2 linked regions of the Styela clava genome follow. The protein of the gene in region 1 interacts with the protein of each later gene in a biochemical or structural test. Links are inferred from orthologs where the notes say so. Each region holds a gene or a part of one and is shown in the gene's direction. Other genes may lie near its edges.

What was found. The genes of interacting proteins can lie anywhere in the genome.
Region 2: the proteins of heat shock factor protein-like (region 1) and co-chaperone protein daf-41-like form a complex in vitro, tested with the Homo sapiens proteins (2 studies listed by BioGRID). The link is inferred for Styela clava from reciprocal best matches to the Homo sapiens genes HSF1 and PTGES3.

The regions. Positions count from the first base shown.
Region 1 is NC_135263.1:6,646,766-6,657,156, forward strand, and holds the start of heat shock factor protein-like, read left to right. Parts: upstream 1-6,600; 5' UTR 6,601-6,684; coding exon 6,685-6,813; intron 6,814-7,342; coding exon 7,343-7,451; intron 7,452-7,831; coding exon 7,832-7,956; intron 7,957-8,487; coding exon 8,488-8,609; intron 8,610-9,015; coding exon 9,016-9,091; intron 9,092-9,798; coding exon 9,799-9,857; intron 9,858-10,391. Other genes in the region: uncharacterized protein LOC120340514, read right to left, coding at 1-3,459. UniProt on the Homo sapiens protein: Functions as a stress-inducible and DNA-binding transcription factor that plays a central role in the transcriptional activation of the heat shock response (HSR), leading to the expression of a large class of molecular chaperones, heat shock proteins (HSPs), that protect cells from cellular insult damage.
Region 2 is NC_135259.1:4,437,916-4,448,128, forward strand, and holds co-chaperone protein daf-41-like, read left to right. Parts: upstream 1-5,345; 5' UTR 5,346-5,503; coding exon 5,504-5,523; intron 5,524-6,067; coding exon 6,068-6,251; intron 6,252-7,167; coding exon 7,168-7,266; intron 7,267-7,938; coding exon 7,939-8,091; intron 8,092-8,343; coding exon 8,344-8,443; intron 8,444-9,468; coding exon 9,469-9,557; 3' UTR 9,558-10,199; downstream 10,200-10,213. UniProt on the Homo sapiens protein: Cytosolic prostaglandin synthase that catalyzes the oxidoreduction of prostaglandin endoperoxide H2 (PGH2) to prostaglandin E2 (PGE2).

The DNA.
Region 1 (10,391 bases):
ATCTCGCGTTATATCTCCCAGATCAGTGTTTATTGAAGGAACTGGCGATGCAGAAGATTCGGTTTGAATATCTTCATCATCCAACTCGCTGTCTTCATTGGGGTCGTAATCAGTTGGTTTTAATGGATTACCCCAACTTTCTTCGCTTTCAGAAAGTCGTGGCGCGTCAGGAATGGCGACTCTCAGATTAGGCACATACATTTCTGAGTCCACTTCGCTGTATTTACGATAATTTGAATCTTCCTGATCTTTTATGTTTCTAACGTAGAGTCCAGAGGTGCTGGGAGATGCGTCGGTGACGTGTACCGTTGTTTCATGTAAATGGAGAATTTCCGGTTTTTCTCTCATATTCTCTGGTTCAGAATTGCGCTTCCTGCCACACTTATCTATCCAACATAAAAGACTTCCAAAACACAACGTCATTCCAATTCCTACAAAAAACGCCACTATTAAATACATAGTAACTGGAATAGGCGAAGAAACCGGTAAGCCAACAAATGTTATTTCCACCATTCCAGCTTTATCGTTAAAAATTTCCGCATACTGTGTTCCGCCTGAAAATTTTATGTAGCTTCCTCCACCACCAGAAAATCCATTTGAAGAACCCCCTCCACCACCAGTATACCCACCTCCTCCACCTGATGCAGTAATATAGCCTGATCCACCACCACCGAAACCTCCTTCAGAATATCTCCCATCTGCTATATCGTATCTGCCACCAGCAAGAGATTGATATAATTGCCTTTCTGTGTCGTTGACGCTTTTAGCATTACCAAATGGTAAAAATCCTACAGCAGGAAGAGCAGTGTCTCCAAAATTAACAAGGCTTCTTGAAATACCATGAAAACCTGCTCCACCGGCCGTGTTTGATGCGCCCGGTAGTCCAGGTCCCACTGTTTGTTGTTTACCACCACTACCAAATCCTTGTCCAGTGGCTGAAGCGTCTCCGGCAGTGTGGTTCAGTCTACCATCTGATAATGAAGATGGCGATGCTCCCCGAAAAGCGCTTCCGGCGCCACCAGCAATAACTATAGGCTCGTTTGTACCATCACCTGCTACAACAAAACTTCCTCCGGCCCCTCCTTGGGTCATGTCACCAAAGTATTCTCCCTGTTGTCCAACGGCAATCATAAGTTTTGCACCCTCAAGGAGGTGGAAAAGCCCCGAGACCGTAGCGCCCTTTCCTCCCGGCCCCTCATACCCTGCACCTGTTGCTGTAATACGATAGAGACCTTGAATTGGAGCCATCCAGTGTTGGATACCGAATTCTACTGTTGTAAGTTTATCCAAGGAAGTTTTTCTGTATGCATTATTGCAATATACTTGAGTAGGTCCAATTCTCCCTTGTCGTAGACAGTTCGAAAATCTCCATACAAGCCGAGGAAATAATTGATGTGAGTCGTACGGAGACCAGGTATCATATAATTTTGAATTACTTACATTTACTACACTTTGCATCCATGAATTCCCTTCGCCCACTACAGTAGTCAACACAATACGGTAGGTTGACCCAAGGCTGAGTTTCAATACTTTTTCAGTTTCTTGTTTGTGGATTTTGTAGGAGAGAAATTCTGGCTGAAATTCTATCGCACTGTTAGATTTATATATGCGAGTTAAATTAAGTAAATAGTAGTCCATGTTCGCAACTGACACATTCACTGCAGCCCATTGTATTTTGACCTGAGAAAGAGTTACTTGAACCAAGTCTGTAAGAATAGGATTTTGTGGTTGAGTATAGAGAACAAGCGGGATTGATGATACACTGCGAGCTTTTCGATCGTTTTCCCTATTGTCTCCAACTTCGCAGTATATTTGTATTTTATAAAGCGTCCCTGCAGCAAGGTTGTCTAAGGAATGTGTCATCTGTTGAGCACCATCACGATTCCACACCGAAATGCGATTCACATTAAGCGAGTCCGAGACAGGGTGGTAGACGACTTCATACCTCCAGAAGGTTGGCGTTTCCAATGTATCTGGCTTTTCCCAATTGAGTAAAATTTTTCCTTGTTTCCCGTATCCGCTGAAACTCTTTGGTGGCATCGGCACTGTTCTAGTCAGCATACTGGTTGAAGACGTCGTTCTTACAGGTTCTAGCGTAGAAACTGTGACGTGGATTCGGTAAAGCTGTCCGGGTTCGAGACCAATGATTTGTATACTCGTAGCTTCTTGAAGATTGTAGGAAATTGGTGACGAACGTCTTTCTGATCTAATTAGCTCGTATTCAATGATAACTACGTTAGAAGCATTCATATTTAGAAATTCGAAGTTTAGAAAAACTTGTGTCGTTGTGATATTATCTATGAATATTTCGTTCGGTAAGGATGGAGCTGTGCGTGCATACAAATCAGTTGCTTCGCTTACTTTTCCAAACGGAACGCTATTTCGAATATATTTTATTGAAATAAGATATAACACACCTGGTTTTAGAGCAGTTATGTTATATTCTTGTACTTTATTTGAAATATTTATGACTTTTTCTTTCGAATCATCTTTTCCGAACGGTGAGTATGAAAGGATGACATCAGAATCTTTGATGTCATAACTATCTTCCCAACCGAAAAGTATGGATGTTGTGTCGTATCTAACTACATCTGCTTCACCCGGGCCAGGTACCTTAAACTCATACCGTATTTTCAAAGGCAAACTTGTCGTTGGATCTTCTCCCAAACTTTTTGTAACAACAGAAAAGCTGTATGTTGCTCCTAATTCTATTCGCACGGCCTGAGAAACATTTGTTGCAGATGACGAAATGAATGCACTAGCCTGTTTATGAGGAATGTCAATAGGACGAGTTCGATATTTAAAAGCTTGTGTACTTGTGAGTTTGTCTACAATTCTGTACGTTAAAGTGAAAATATCATATTTTGGGCCATTAATGGGGGTGGGAGATCCATCCCAAACGACATACACTTCATCTGGTCGATTTTTCATAGAAACGATTCTTAAATTTGAAATAGGAGGGGGGACGGTCCTGGCCTTGATGGTTTGCGCTACTGGTGACAAAAGATAATTTCCAAGTGAATCTTTTCCTTGAGTGCGGACGCTAATTTTGTATAAAACACCGCTTTGTAATCCAGGCACGATGATTCTAGAACCTCCGAGGTTTTTATCGACTTCAATATTTTGTTTTTCAGTGTCACTTTCATAGTCAATGCGAAAATGTGAATATCTGGCATCATTCCGGTAATTAGCGGGAGGAAGAAAACTTAAAATCAGCGTTGTGGTTGTGGCAGTTCTCCTTTGCAAATTTCTTGGAGGGGGCAATGTAATATCCGTTATTTCCCTGGGTATGAATTCTGCTGTTGTTGGCGGCGCGTTAGTTGTTGCGTTGTTTGTATTTGACACCTCTGGAATCGTTGTTAAGTTATTCACAATGCTCGTGGTCTGGGCGTCAATACCTGCCCATAGTTGGAGTACAAACAACACGATGATATGATCTTTATAACTCTTCATTGTCATCTCATTATAAAACGTTATTTGTCAAGATTATATTCGTATTAATTTTCTATAAAAAAAATATAAAAAAGAATTTATATGAAAATAAATAATGAATTTATGTAATGAACGGGTCCACGATATTAATAATATGAAAATAGTTTAAAAAAAATCGAATATTCTTAATTAAATAATTTTGGTATAGCTATATATCATATAGGACATATATGATCATTCTTTTCAATCATTCTTCAATTCATCTTCTTTCAATCATTCTTTGTAATGATTTGTTTTTGTAATGATTTTGTTCAATGTCTTTATATATATGCTGCCTAAAGTCTTCCACCATTTACACATAAAGTTATTGTGTATCCTTCAACTTTAAAAACCCGATTCCACGCAATTGATGTATTCACTTACAGGTTGGTAATTGGTAACAGACTCCGATGACCGCATGGTCGTATCGTTGCCACCCAGTCTATACCGAGAACTGTTTCGCTTTTTATTAATTATGTTTTTGTTGTGTATATGTTTTCTGGTTGACAAAACAAATGAACTCTTTCTCTAAACTCTCTCTCTCTTTTAAAAAATAACGGCATTATCAGGGTAGAAACGGTTTAATTATTTCAAATTAGCATATTTTGCCAAGTCAAGGGATAGAGATTTTCAAATTTAGAAAAATCGTTCATTCGGCTGTTTTTAATTTACAACTTCTTAAACGGAAAATACTTGCGACAAGAAACATTAACCCGATTTACAAATAAATAAATGTTAGTTTAAAAATAAAATTTGAAACAATGAATTATTTTCCGATTCGAGGTCCCTTGAAGCTTGAGGTACCTACCTTGCCATTTGGCGAATCTAGCACTGACCCGGTGTCATAGGACTAGCGTGTTCATATGCGTTCACATATGATTTTTCAATGGACACACATAAATAATATGCAACTTGATAATACAGTTTGTATTGTCCTTTCACTAATCTATACATATATACCGGAATAATGTTTTGTAACATTTAAATTAAAAACCTTGGTAGTGTAGATTATTTTTCTCAACTATCAGTCCATTCACGAATACTGACGTTTGTATTTCGCTTACCTTTGAATATCTTTAAAATTTAGCTATATTTTTGTGCCAACCCTTTTTTGGTGGTCTAGGCACTTCCTGGTTATTTTGCCAAACTATTAGTCTCAAATACCGTAGCTTGCAATCTTCATGTATTTTTGCGCTGGGTGGAATACGAACTTTTACCTGACTGTAGACATATCGGAAAAACATTCAATCCAATTTCGTCACTTCATGGTATTTCATAACTTTTCTCGTTTCTAATTTTGATCCTCAAATAATGTTAAATTTATTCTGGTGGAAATTATTCTTTACCAACTATAGTACTCATAAACACTGGTTCTTTTTAAATTAAAGATTTGACACAAACGATACCAGCTTTTCCGCGGAACTCGACAATTCTCAACGATTAATTTGCTCACACAAATACGAAAATGTTCAAGCAAACCTTCAAAAATAGTTCTATCGCCTCGAGCGATGTAGACTCATTACGGAATGATTTTGAAGTAAATGAAAGGTAGAGTTTAACATAATTATTGCTTGGAAATAATTAACAAATGAAGACTAGCGAAAAACAATAGTTCAAATGATGTCATTTATACTGATAAGCTAACTAGGCACTCAACTTGTGTAGTCAAAACGCCTTCTCTACTTTTGTTATTTTTAAACATAGGCGTGTCGTAATATAAATTAAACTAGCAGCATTGAAACGGAAAACGTCAACGTGATCAGAAAGTCGATATAATGGCTCAGCTGCACGGCAAATGATGTTACCAGTTCGTACAGATCGGTTCAAAAGATATTGCCAATCTTTTACACACTTCGACCCATGGCCTACATCCAGAGGTGCGGCAGCGAGCGTATTTCTAACTAACGCTTAGCACGATTCGAATTAGAACGTCGTGAACAATGTCATTCAGAACATATGTTACCCATTGAGATGATGTTACCCCAGGAATAGTTTTTTTCATACCAAAAATCAAAACTTTCTTCCCTGAACTATGGAATGGAATGGAATTTCGAGGGTCAATTGTCGGGTGTGGTGATCTCACGTTTCTGCGTTTTTAATAAAGGATAACATTTTTATATTTATGGAGAAGAAATTTTATAAGACGGCGTATTCATATGGCGAACCACGACCACTCGTCCGGGATATATATGTAAATCATACCCAAGGATAATTCTTTTACGCTAAAAATCAAAACTTTCTTCATTGAACCAGAGCCATTATATAACGGTTATATAATGGCTCTGATTGAACTATGGAATGTAATTTTGAGGGTCAAAGGTCGGGCAAACATCCCTATACTGCCCTATATTGACCAGTTTGTGGTGATCTCGCGTTTCTGCTATTTTAATAAAAGATAAAATTTTCTATAAGAAATTCTATAAGACGAGTGTTCGGACAGTGCAAATATGATATCGCTATCCGTTACAAACATTTGGGTTCACGCAGGCTCGAATGTGGAGATATGTTTATCAACAATCACAGATAATGCAACAGGCTCGATCAGGATAGGATAGGATGACTCGGCGGTGTGGCGCATCGTGCTAAGCGTTAGGAATACGCTCGCCACCGCATCTCTGATTACTTGGTGCAGGTAGTACTGGTACCGGTACCGGTTGTGTAGGACCGTCTCACGGAATTTTATGAGATCAGCGAACCGGTTAGCATTACATGACTTTTTGTAACAGAACCGCCTGAAAATATGACATTTGTATGATAGAACCGGCTGACACAAAATTTAAATCCCACCACTGCCTTGGGGGGGGGGGGGGTTCGCAGGTTCGAATCCCATGAAAGATGTGCGAGAGGATTGCTGGACTCGTCGCCGCCGTAGGGTGGTTCACGTAACTGCTGGTCGGTTACGGGTTCCACCACCATCATGTCCATGCTTCTGAAAACAAAATAACTGGCTAACTAATCCCATAGGTACCCGACCTGGACGTGAGGCCGTGGTTCGCCATATGATTAAGTCGTCTTATCGGCTTTCCTCTCCCCCGGGATAAATATGTAAATCCTATCCTAAATGAGGTATTTATTACTATAAAACCAATATATCCACATGCTGGTTGGTTATTTATCTCGTTACTTGAGCTATTGTTATTTGTATTTAAGAATGTGAGTAAATAAATACCATATAGACTATATATTTGAAGAATTAGCACTGCAAATTAAAAAATGGAGACTACTAATGCTCCTGTTGCTGTAATGGAAAATCCCACAACTTCAAATATTCCGACATTTTTATTGAAACTTGTTAATATGTTGAAAGATGAATCAAATCACGAATATGTGGACTGGAATGAGGTAGTCTAGATTTGTGTGATTATATATTTAATAATGTGGAATTAGAAATGTTTACATTGTAACATTTGTATAATTGCACTAAATAATTTCAGAATTTGGTAATTCAATCGTTTAATAAACTTATCTCATATTTTTATAAATTAGTATATTTTTGCTATTAGGGGTGAAATGTATTACATAATCACAGCATTAAATCAGTTTGTTATCCTCTGTAAGCTTTATGAATATTTACTGATTGCCTACAAAGTTATTTCATTGTATTTTCACTAAGCCTTACATCCCACATCATCACATATTTTCCCATTGTGACTCATGATTGGAGTGACTCGTTTTGACTTGAGACTCAAGTGTTAAAATTAGCTCATACTCTGGGGTTAATGACTCAATCATGTGTCTCTTGAGATCAAGACTCTTGGCCTGCAACTTGGTACTTGTGGACTGGCTGAATAGCACCCAGTGTTGCCATTGAAAGTCTTGTTTCTGAAATTTCAATTTCTGACTGAATAGATTAATCTATTTTTTTTTTCAGGCAGGAACATCTTTCATTGTGAAAGATCAAGTACAGTTTTCAAAAATTGTTCTACCTAAGTATTTCAAACATAATAAGTTTGCAAGTTTCGTCAGACAATTGAATATGTGTGAGTATATTTCAAGTTTTCATGGTAATAATGAAAATCAAAATTTGTACAGAATTTTGGAATAATTATTGTTGACTAAGCATGACTAACAGTTTGTTAAAGAAGTCTTGCATACGCAAAACTTTTTACTGTCTGAATTTAATGTTCTGGGAGAGTTCGGAGGTAGAGTTTGAGACAAAATTTGCATTAGCTTGGCGTGGGAGAATGTTTTTCAAGTCACAGTCATGATTTTTTCAACACAGTAATTGTAAATTTTCTTCAGCCCCTGTCATTATTGGCAATTTTTGTTTTTTCCAGTATACACTTTATGGAAATGTTAGTAGAATATGAGATCTATAAAAAAATATTGGAGTAAGTAATCAATTTTAATAATCTGTCAGATGGATTTCGCAAGATCACATCATTAACACAGAGTGGTTTGAATAATGAAAAGGAGGAGATTGAGTTTTACCATTATTTGTTCATTCGTGGTGAAGAAGTATTTCTGGAGCATATCAAGAGAAAGGTATTTATCTGTTCAATTATTTGAATTATACAATAATTTATTGTTTATATCACTATAATCTACGTTATTAATTGAGGTTTTGCGAGATTAGCTATTTCAACCTTACAATGTCTTTTCAGCGATGTCAATATGTTATCAGGTAATTACTGTGATGCGATATATTACCAGGGGCATTATCAACCATGTTTGTAGTGACACATTATTTTTATTTTACATATTTCTACAATCTACATTAATGGAAATGTAAACACTTTCAAAACCAGTTTTATAATATAAGAACTCATGAATGCATGCATGAATATTCACAATGAACAATTTTTGTGCTCTTGGACTAAATCTTGTTAACATGATTACATTACATTTGAGGCATGGCCTCTTTTATTAGGCTGCTGATTTGAATATGCAAGAACTTAATTCTATTCAAATTAGATGAAGACGAAGTTGTAGAATACCAATCTATTCATATATGTTCTTCCCTATTTTGGCAATACTTTGAATTTGAGCCTGTAGTTATCTTGTTTTTGTGTCCAGGTACCAAAACCAGAAGAATCAAATCGCCGTAACAATGAAGATGTTACCAAAGTACTCGATGATGTTAAACAAATGAAAGGCTACCAAGAAAACATAACTTCGCAGCTATCAGAATTGAAGCAGTATGTATATATATTCTAAGACAGTACTTCTCTAACTTATATATTCTAGGTTAGTTCGTCTCCAACTTATATGATCTGTGGCCCTCCTCTGAAGACTTTCATCACTTTGTGGCCCCCTACCTAGTTTTGTTTGGCCCCCTACCTAGTTTTTTTTTCAACACTAGGACTGTCCTTCTCTAACTTATATGATCTGTGGCCCTATTCCGAAGACTTTCATCCATTTGTGGCACCCTGCTCTTCAATAAAAAACCTAGTTTTGTTTTTAACAGACTTCCATCAGTTATTATATTCGCAATGTTTAATAATAAAAAGCCACCCAATAACTTTAACACCTTTTAATGATTTTCCAAAAATAATTTTTTAATTTATTAATGGGAACAAATTAATTCGTTTAATTTTTTTTCAGAGAGAATGAAGATTTGTGGCGAGAGGTTGTTAATCTACGTCATAAGCATTCACATCAACAGAAAGTTGTCAATAAGGTGATTAAAGTATTCAATAACGATAAATTTAGGATTTTCAAATTTTGTTAGATAATGAAGGAAAATAAAAACCCGAATATTTTTAGGTTTTTCACCTAATATTTTGAATTGTATTAGAAGATGCATTTAAATCTGTAAAGAACCAAGTTCACATTTATTCAAATTTACATATGAAGAATTGATAGGTCATTTTAAATGATCCTGGATCAGTTTAAAATCTAGAAAATTTAGTTTTAATTCCTATGTTAGGGTTAGGAACAAAATATTGCTTCACTATGCAATTCAAGAGTCCTGCTGCACACTAACACAAATGTATTTCTCTACAGTTCTCATACAAGCAGTTTACAACAATGCATTACAGAAATATATTTGTGTTAGTGTGGCATGACTCTTGAATTGCATAGTATGGCCATGTTTATTCCCGATACATCCTTGCATTATACACATACGGATCCACTAGCAAAAGGGCATGGGAGTTAGTCTCCTTTAAATTTTACTGACAGTTACTATTTTGCTTATTTGCTTTTTTTAATTGATCTCACTGGTTTCATGAGAATAAATAATGGTGATACCTTATTATTTGTGTACCTTTGTGTGGTTTGAATCGATATATTCAACAAACATATTGTCTTCAAAGTTCCTTTGAAATATTGTATTTGTATATCAATTCGATCCTTTTTTTCATATTTTTTTGTCCTTCATTTCAGCTTATACAGTTCTTGGTAAACTTGGTTCACCAGCATGGTATAGGAGTAAAAAGGAAGCTGTAAGTATTCTTGATGTTTTGATTAAACAGAAAACATAGCTTATCTTGCTTTTGCCTTTATCATAACTCTCATAATAATTTTGAATTTGCTTTAATTTATGTGTGATATGATCTTAAAAAAGGATAAAGAGAAAAACCCTTTTTGATACTAGTAGATTATTTTTAACAATTTTGTCAGAAATAAAATTGTTTTGCATAATGTGCAAATTTTTTGAGGATAATACAATAATTTAACTAGACATACTCTGTAATGTATTCTGCCTTTAGATCAGGGGTCTCCAACTCAAAACATGTCGTGGGCCACTTTTTGAAATTTGTTGACCACTCGGGCCGCAAACCAAGAAATTAGGTACAAAAATGGGTATCTGAATGTATTGTGTTGAAATTACACTTAAATCTTACAGCAAACGAGACATGAAGCATATTCATTCACTTGTGCCCGATATTTGGTCTCAATGTTTGGCCTTATTCTGTGTTGGTTTGCTAGACTTAAGACAACATGCAAATGCTCGTCCGTTAGTCGTGTGCGGAGGG
Region 2 (10,213 bases), on another chromosome or scaffold:
AAAACATTTTACAGAACCATACAAATTAAGTCAAAATTAGTCCTATATTTGGCCTATGGCAACAAATATATAATATATTCAAGGCCTGCACAACTTGAATGAACGAAAGAGCCGCAACATACAAAAACAATTGTTCACGGCCCACAACTTATCATTATTACCATATAACTTATATCATGTCATATTTTTCGTAATGTCGCGTATGAACAGTGTAACACGTGATAAATTCGACGCAACAAGCCTTCAATAAAATAAGTTGCATTTTTTTCATAGATAAGTGTCAAGATTTATTCCATAAATAGGAGAGAAATTGTTTGTGTAATAGAATATGCTGTAAAGTTTTGGTGTACCGCACAATGCATTCTGCGGCCGCCTTTCGCCCATACACTTCCGACGGTGAACCGACGTACAAATATTTTTGTCAATGCAATACAATAAATTCACGAAAGTCGGGAAATCCATTCAATTTATTCAACAACATAAATTCTACATTTCTGAAGATTTGAATATCAAAGTCTGTATCGCAGAATATAGATTGAAAACATCAAAACAAAACAAATATATATACAAAATGTCTAGTTCTAGAAAACTATCCAGAGGTTAGCTGTTAGCAAAACATTGCTGTCATGCTCAGCCGCATGTAAGCAGTACAAAAGTTAATATGACTTGTGAAAATGGAGCAGTAATTACAGTACTATCAGCGCAAAATGCACGTTCGACGTTCATTTTAGCACAATGAACGTACACAGTTTCACCGAAAGCACGCGCCAAGAGTGCATCCTTCGCAGAAAATGTTGCGTACCGATAGAGAACTTAAGCCTATTATATCATAGCTATTCCTAGAATATTTTGGATTACTGCAATTACACTAGAACTCCTAAGAAGGCAAAATGATGATTGGCATATTTGATTCATACTTGAAAATCTACGAAGTGGAATGAAGTGCGAGTGGATGCGAAAAGGCTTCTGTAACGTCACTTTTTGCGTCTTGCTGATTGGACAATATTACGAAATAAACAAGGCAGTCGACTCTCGGAGAAACATCTCTTAGAGATAAATTTCGAGCAAAACTTTGCGGGCCAGATGAAAGGACGCCGCGGGCCGGAAGCGGTCCGCGGGCCGTAGTTTGGTGACCCCTGCGTTGCAGCATTGTTGCCAGTAGTTGATGACCGATTTTATTATTAATTTTTATCACTGGAATGTGAGTATTTTATTTTTAATAATTCGTGACTTAGCGGGTCACCAAAAACATGGTAATCCGCAAACCGATCAGTTTTTCGTTATCCCAGGCTATGCCATCTATAATGCCCATGACGTCAGCAATGACGTAATAATGTTTTCTGTGCCTATGTTATATCGACATATGGTAGTGTAATATGTATTAGGCCGTCATAAATGAATTTTTAAATTTTACCGGACCGGGTACCGAACCACAGTCATACATTGCACATGAAAACGTTACTAAATAACATGCGTCAACTTAACACCACCTGAATCGGGGTACAAATTTTGGTACAGTGACTGTCATAGCCGTTTAGGGCTGATGGACAATTCGACTACATGGACAACTCACCAGGTCTATCTGAAGTCGAGTTGTCGTCTGCCTCCCATTTCACATGTCCCGTGACAATGATCTACTCTTCCCCATTCAATTGCAATATGAATTGAAATACTAAGTAATCCGTTTCATTCACTTCTCTCCATTATTGGAACAAAATTTAAAAAACAAGCCCCGCTTTTACCAGACAGCTACGAGTTAGTTCAGTGTCACCGCGCTACCGGAACTGCCCTATCTTTAGAAGATCCTATCTTGTGATAGCGGGAATTGAAATTGCAAGATGGTGCGACTCACAACTGTAGTAACACCAACGATCCGAGTCACTACTGTAATATAACACTATTCGCCATTCTTCAAATCTTAGCAAAGCAAGGATTCCAATACGAACCACCGACGTTTGATTGCACGTGATTAAAAGACATGAAGAGCAGTGCCAGCATATGAGTCCGCAGAACGTTGGGTGACGTCATAGCAAACAAAAACAAATCTCACAGAGCCAACAGAAATATTTGAAATAAATAAAAGTAATAGCCTTCTGGAGAAAAAAATCCTTTTTAACCGCTAAAAATTTCAAAGCAAGTGGTCCAGTAATCAAAGAGAAAAGCGACTTTTTCGATTTTCCACTAGGTGTCCAGAAAGTGTCAAAGAACAAGAACAACAACATAATGTTGAAACGATCCATAGGTTCACTACGTGTGCAATTATCATATTTGTGTTTGCCCAAATAAATTAGTATAGGTATATATATATAACTATCAATAGGATCCCCTTTTTGGACACGTAGTGGACATAACGATCGTTTCAATATTATGTTGTTGTTCTTGTTCTTTGACACGTTTTTAAAAAGTCGCTTTTCTCTTCGAATACTGGACCAATTGCTTTGAAATTTTCAGTGGTTAAAGATTAATTTTTTCGCTAGAAGGCTATTACTTTTATTTATTTCAAAATTTTGCGTGAATTCTATGAAATTTGATATTTCGTCAAAAATTTTGCTGTATTATTTTTTATCCATGGGAACACGGATTTTAGTCAGTGTCATGACTGGCTGAACGTTTTGATTCTGCAAAATTCTTGCTACTGGAAATTTAGAACTTTTTTGAGGGTACCGGTAGCGTCAAAGGTACCGGTAAGGACTGATTCGCTCTGGTCTAACGTTTCCATATATTTGTGCGTAGCTCTCTTGTTCAGCATATTAAGGCATTTTAGGGGAAATAACTTTTCAAAATTCTAAATATTCACATTTCGATTTTTAAAGCTAGAGAGGTGGGGCTCTTCATATCTAGACAAATTCATTTATTCGGCCGTATTTATTTTAGTAACCTTTGGAATGAAAAATATTCAATTTTTGGGGAGTAAAGGCTAATTTATAGCTATCCTAATTTTTTTAGCTATTATTAGGGTTACCATATTTTTTTGACTACAAAGCATAGAGAATTTATCTATTCGCCCAAGCATGCTTTTCTGTAGATAACATCGTCAAAAAGATGTTACAATGTTACATTCACGTGAACGTCCGAACAGGACCAAATAGAATGATTTTACACGTGATACGTTCGCTAACAATATTAGCGGGAAACGACGAAACAAACAAAATAGCTCATTCACCTTCAGTAAGTAGGCTAGTGTTGCGCTACACAGCAACAACAGTAACGAGAACATGTTCGTGTGGCGCGGCGGTGTGGCTCAACGGGCTAAGCGTTAGGAATACGCTCGCCACCGCACCTCTAATTACTCTGCGTGGGTTCGCAGGTTCGAATCTCATGCAGGGATGATTATGTGCGAGAGGATTGCTGGACTCCGCGCCGTCGTTGGGTGGTTCACGTAACCGCTGGTCGGTTACGGCTTCCTCCACCATTAAGTCCATGCTTACAAAAACAAAACAATATAACTAATCCCATGCCCGACTTGGAATGGTAACCGGACGAGAGGCCGTGAATCGCCATATGGATAAGCCGTCTTATCGGCTTTCCTCTCACCCGGGATAAATATGTAAATCCTATTATATCCTAATATGCTGGATGGCTGAACTGATGGCTTTGGGCTGACTTGTCGGGACGGCGGGACAAGACGTTAGAAAGCGGGACTGTCCCGCCTAAAGCAGGACGTGTGGTAAGCCTAGCTATTATACATTTCGCCCAAAGCATTTGGATTTTGGAGAAATGGGGATGAAGACTGTATCAGTAGACTCCCTATTTGGAGCGAAAAAAGAATTGATCACGTAGTACGCTATTTTTATTTTAATTTGCACTATTTTTGTGGAATCTTACAGCCGCTAAACAAGGACAGATAATTGGTTTAATTTCACAAACATATTAATCAATTCAGAGCCACATGGCCTTAAATCAAAACGAAACACTGTGAATAAACAGTTAAAATTGTGGCGCTCAGGAAACGTACATTCGTGTTTTCGTCATGTATACTCTATGGTTATGAAAAATTTAATTTATCATAAGATGTAGTTGGTACTTTGCTTTCCCTGACAACAACAAAAAATAATAAATACCCGAATCCCGCATTGAAATTTCAAAATATAAATCTGCCATTTGGTCGTTGATTAACAAATGGCGTCACGGCGCGCACGTGCTGCTCGCGACGGGTGCTTCACTACCTTGCGACATTTCCCCATTTACAAGGGCTTGCGTCGGCTTATCTCCCTCTTTTCGATGTGTTTTTGACATGCCGGCGTTCTATGAATTTCTGTATTTGAAAGTAAGGACTGAGGCAAGTCTGCAAGTGTACCTAGATTTTGATATGTCATCTTTTTACATAGCCTTATGAACTGAATCCGTAGTTCTGTAGTTAGTTGAAGTTTGACGCTGGTTTACAGGCTTAGGACAGACTGACAGAAGAAACATCTGGAATGTTGGTTGAAAGGGTTGAAAGATAATTATGTACTGTTGCCACTGCTGAACTGTATAAGGCAGTAAGGTCCAGCATACCGGTACGGTACTCAGATAGTCCACCGGTACCGTACCTGGATCATGTCATAAGCTTCATTTGACTGTTTGACATTATCTGGTCTTTTGAGAGTTTGGTGTATTAGACTAATCAAAATTTGTAAATATGCTTCTAATAGTCGGAGATTTCAGTCTGTCTTCAAACTGTCTGTTAACCCAGTAACCCTCCAAATTATACTTTTTGAGTTTTGTTTATTTATAAAACTATTGACAGATTGACCTCAAACTTTGAGGTCTGCTGGTATACCGGTAGTTTAGTACCACATGCACTTCTAGTTGGCCCCGGCTCAACAATTTCTGAATTTTTGCATAGGCTATGTCATTCCTAACCCCCACCTGCCGTCGCCGGTCATCCAAAACGCGTCTGCGCGTAGACCATCACCTGAAATTGAGCAAGCTATTTCTCTTGTGTTCTCGACACAACGACCCTCATATGAGACAGATCGCCGATATTTGTGAGTTTGTTATTGGCGGCGCAGATAGCTAGCAGCTATACTTTGTCGAGCTCTACGATGTGAGTGTGACGTAATTATTGCGACATCTGATGATACCTATGCTGGCTTGAATAAATTTTTGATGCTGATGAATGAGATTTGCCAGTTTCAGAGTTTGTAGAAAGGTGAACAGAATCAGAAAAGGTTAGGTATATAAAATTGGAAACTTGAGGCCTGGGGTTCGATTACCAGTTACAGAATTAGCTTTCCAATCATCTACATTTTAACTAGAACTTACACCTTTTGAAAGTTAGGCGTTTTGAGACCTTGGGTCATTGAAAAGGTTCGTCTGAGAAAATCTGGTGTGAACACGATAACAACAATAAACTTGGGTATTATCTGTGTTTTACAGCATTAATAGTTTACAATTTTCAGTAGGATATCTCTTCACACCTGCTCGAAGCTGAGAACATTCAGAACTCACTTTTGTTGTTATTAATTTTTCGTTTTCAATAAACTTCAGAACTAGACGTTGCATTATATTCAAATACAAAATGTCTTCAGGAGATTCATGGTAAGCTATACTCTGTTAGCTTTTGTTCTATAGCCTGTTTGTTTATCTCTTGCCCCATATTTCCTAGTTTGATCACGATGGTAAATTTGTTCGGTACTCCTGTAGTATGTGAACCAAGATGGCGGACACCGAAATGTAGTATGTTTACCAGGTAATGGTTAGGCCATAATTTCAGGTACAAATACTACGGGAGTCACTTGGCTAGTCCCCGAACTCGTAATAGAACTAAAATAAGGAAAATTGGAATAAAAATATGGCCTAACCTGATACACATACTACGTTCTGGTTTCTTGGTTCACATACCACGGGAATACCATTTGTTCACCACTAACAAAAATGAGTATCAGAATTCAAGCCAATCTTTAACCAGCTTGAATCTTGGTTATCAATGAAATTACAAATAGACATATTTAGTAAATAGTTTGATGTGAATTTCTAATTTTTTAACCAAAATTGTTGGAACAAAGTCTTAAAGCAGGTTGGAAATGTTTTCAAAAATTAACAGAGTCCACAAGTTAATTGTATTATTTTTTTATTTTCATAGTGAATATGTCCCAACAATATGGGCACAGCGAAAAGATTTACTGCTGATATCATTTTGTGTCGAAGATTGTAAAAATCCAGATGTGAAATTCGAAGAAAAGAAAATAATATTTAACGGTCAGGGTGGATCGTTAAACAAAAAATATCATTCACAATTAGAATTATTTAAAGAAATAGATCCTAAGGTTTGTTAATTTTTTCTACGTTTGTGATTTAAAAAAAAATATAATTCATGAATTGAGATGTGATTATATATTCAAATTAAGTTTTATTCCATTACAATTTAACACAGCGACTTTCTCAGTTTCTGTTCAATGTTCATAATATGTCACATACTCACATTCATGAATATTGTCTCTGCTCAAAATTATCAGTTCTAATATGGTTGGGAGATACAGATTGAGATTATACAAATAGTTGTGTGTTTTTTTATGCAACGTATTGATACTTTTACACCTAACAAGACTCTGCATAGGGAACCACTAATAGGTAAGGAGCTGCTTCATCAGTTCTTTCGATTCAGCATTGCCTGAGCAGTTTATTAGATAATCCTGTTGTGTGTGAATCAGGTTAGGGTTAGGCCATGATGTTATCCCGATTTTCCTTATTTTAGTTCTATCACGAGTTCGGGGACGGCCTGTGTTAGCCAAGTGAATATACCCCCCTACCCATAGGTTTCGGTCCCCTTACACAACTTGATGTAAAGTATGCGAACAAAATTATTTACTGTAAATTCATATTGGTACACACACTTCTGGAGCGCCGTTTATTATACCCCGAGTTAGATGGCAGGCATGGGATTTGAATCCGAAGTGCCACCATAATTTAGTCTAACACTTTAACCACTTGGTCACTGTTTGTGCAAATCAATTTGTGTAGAAAGACCTGCAAGGCATATAACAAGGTGTAGTTAACAGGGTTAATTTCCAAAATTTCCAACTAACTTTGTTTTGTTAGAAATATCTACTCCTTCTCACGTGTTAATTAGAGAGTTGAAAATATTGAATCTGACTCAATATCTTATTAACTCAGGCTAATAAAATTTGGAACTTTTTGTGTGAATATTTTTATATGTAAAGTTTGTGTTTAAATTGTGTTTAGCAATGCACAGTGAAGAAAACATCAAGGCTAATATATGTACAAGCACAAAAGAAGGAATCTGGTCCGTTCTGGCCAAGACTGTTAGACGCAAAAATGAAGGTAAATTCTTTAAATTATACAATGAAAGTAATTATCTGCATCGACACAAATGGTTACAATCGACACCTAACAAAATTATGTATGTCTGAAGAAGTCCGACCTTGGTCAGACGAAGCATTATAGAAATATATTTGTGTTAGTGTGCAGCAAGACTCTTGAATCACTTCACATGGACAAACATGGCATTTTATTACTCTCTTTGAATACAACCCGATATATAATTTGAGATATTGCCAATGGTACGCAATGATTTAATTTGGGGTTTACCGAAGTCGATTGACCGGGGGCCAAAACTAGAAGCGGGAGGGTATTTGTGGACCCAGAGAGGGGAGCGCCCGCAAGGGCTGTTACTGTAAGCATATTTGAGATACTGGTATAATTGAATTGTTACTTATATACACATGCTCAAACTTTGATAATGATGTAACAAAGTGTTAAACTATTTCACTCAAGTTCGGCGGGCCATAGTAAATCGTTACTCAGGTCGTTATTGCCCCGTGGGCTGCAGTTTGGGAACCACTTATGACTGATTTAATTAATGTGGGTGAATTTTAAAATGTAATTTATTGAGTTTTTCTAGGCATTTAAACTGCATGGAAAATATACACAACTGTTCCTGGTATTTAATTTGACTATACTACGATATCTAAACAAACTCATTTATGATTTCAGCAACATTGGTTGAAAATTGATTTCAACAAGTGGAAAGATGAAGATGAATCGTCAGATGATGATACAGAAATGGGGGGTATGGGCATGGGTGGGGGCATGGGCATGGGTGGTGGCATGGGCATGGGTGGAGGTCAACAACCTGATCTTTCTCAGGTAAAAATGTTTTTGAAAACTGTTATGTGATACTGTAATGGGTAAAATTAGTGTATGCTTTTGAAAGAATATCTTTGATTATCAAATCAAGTTTTACACACGATTCTTCGATTGCTTATTAAATATTCTTATTAATAATAAACCTTTATTGAGGCTAATTTTGTGTGATTTCAGTGTAGTCAATTTCATTGCAGCTCATTATGTATTCACTACAAATATATTCATTTATTTTTATGACCTCATTATTTATAGATGCTACAACAGATGGGAAGGGGAACTGGAAGCGCTGACTTTGGTGATCTGGATGATGGCGATGATGATGAAGGCAGTGAACCTGATAGTGATGATGAAGGTATTTAATAATATATTAGATTTTTATAGAAAACAGAGCGAGTGTTTATGACTGGACAGCATTTTGTTCCTGAAGCTCTGGCTGCTGTGAATCAAAAAGATTACTGCAGTTTTTTGTTGTAAGCCTTGGATTTCGATGAAAGGGGAGGCATGAAGCCAAATACTCCTGTCCTCACCTATTACACATCATAGCTGTTCCCAAACTATAAGTCGTAATAGGTATAAAAATGGGTCGCAACTTTTTTTTACAGTTTTCAAGTTCTTTATTTCATTATAGACTGAACGTATTTCATTTGGCTTCTTTCTAGGAAGAACTATATCAAGTTAAGATTTGTTGAATCTTTTGTAGAAAGCCCCACCAACGCTCAGAATTACAGTAAATTACAATAATATTTAATGACAGTAAAATATACCAAGCCGCTGCCGACTGGTTTACATTAGGTTCCGATTTTTTGGGCACAGTCAACCTGTACATCACACAAGGTGTATAAAATTCGGTTCGACAAAAACAAGTGCTAGTATACCTAATATAAATTAGATTTCATTTTATTAATGTTCAATGTTAACTATGCTTTTGCTCCTTTGGTGCGGTGAACTCTACCTTTTATTGGATCTCTCTCATTTACTGTACTTACGATTTCTCAGCATACTGATACTTCTCAATTTGGTAGCCTATGATATGGACGTTCATGTCCATAAATCCATAAATGAATGCTTTGATTTTTAGAATTAATTTCAATGTTGAATTTCGAGGAAATTCATTTTGTAGTAAAATTTAAAAGAGTCTTATTTTGTCCAAATACCAGTAAAATGTAACTTAAGTCTTAGAATCTCATGCTATAATCTTCAAACATCTTGGTTCTCATATTTTCATGCAGCCTACAGCCCTATTTGTATGTTAAATTGCAACCTCACACCAAATAGTTTTTTATGCATTGTCTGGGGGGAATTAAACGAAAAATGTTTTCACCACTGAAATAGAAGTAGCGTTTTCTTTTTTCAATACTTTTTTTGTCTTATTTACAGACGTACCCGATCTAGAACCCAGTGATGCAGCTGAAAGTAAACCAACAGATAACGGAACAACTGAAGAACCTACTCAAGTAAAAGCATGATTTCCTCAGACACTGACATTCAATGGAAGACTATTGCTCGCCTAAATCATACAACAGACTCGAAACAATGAGCTTGAAATAGTGTTATTGATATGTGGTTTTTGTGATGCTACAACACTTTGAGTTTTGATCTGATTTTAGGTAATAACATGATGTTTATTGTACTGCGTCTCACTGAATTCAATTTAATGCATTACATGTTATATAATCTAGTTCAAATAGGCAAAAAGTTTGGGTAGGTATTCCAGACACGAGTAATTGTTAATATGAAATTCAGGCTTGTTCCTAACCACTGTTGGGCACATTTTTGATGTTTACGATGTAATGAATTTGTATGGCAATTGATATTTCTGCTGTTGGCCGTGTATGATGTGTTTTTGCATTATGCTACTGGACTCCCATAAAACATGGCATACAATACTAATGATTTTTCTGCAATTTGCTACTATCATCATTTAAAATAGCAAACTATTGGAGCACCAATGTGGATGCTTTTGCCTTTACCTGACATGTTTTTTTGATTTGAATATCTTGTTGAAAATATTGCCTGACTACTGGAACCCCCATGTTCATGTAAATGTTGTCCATGGTTGTCGTTTTCATTTTGACATTGAACAATAATTATTAAACTTTTGTAATTAACTGATGCTGTTTAA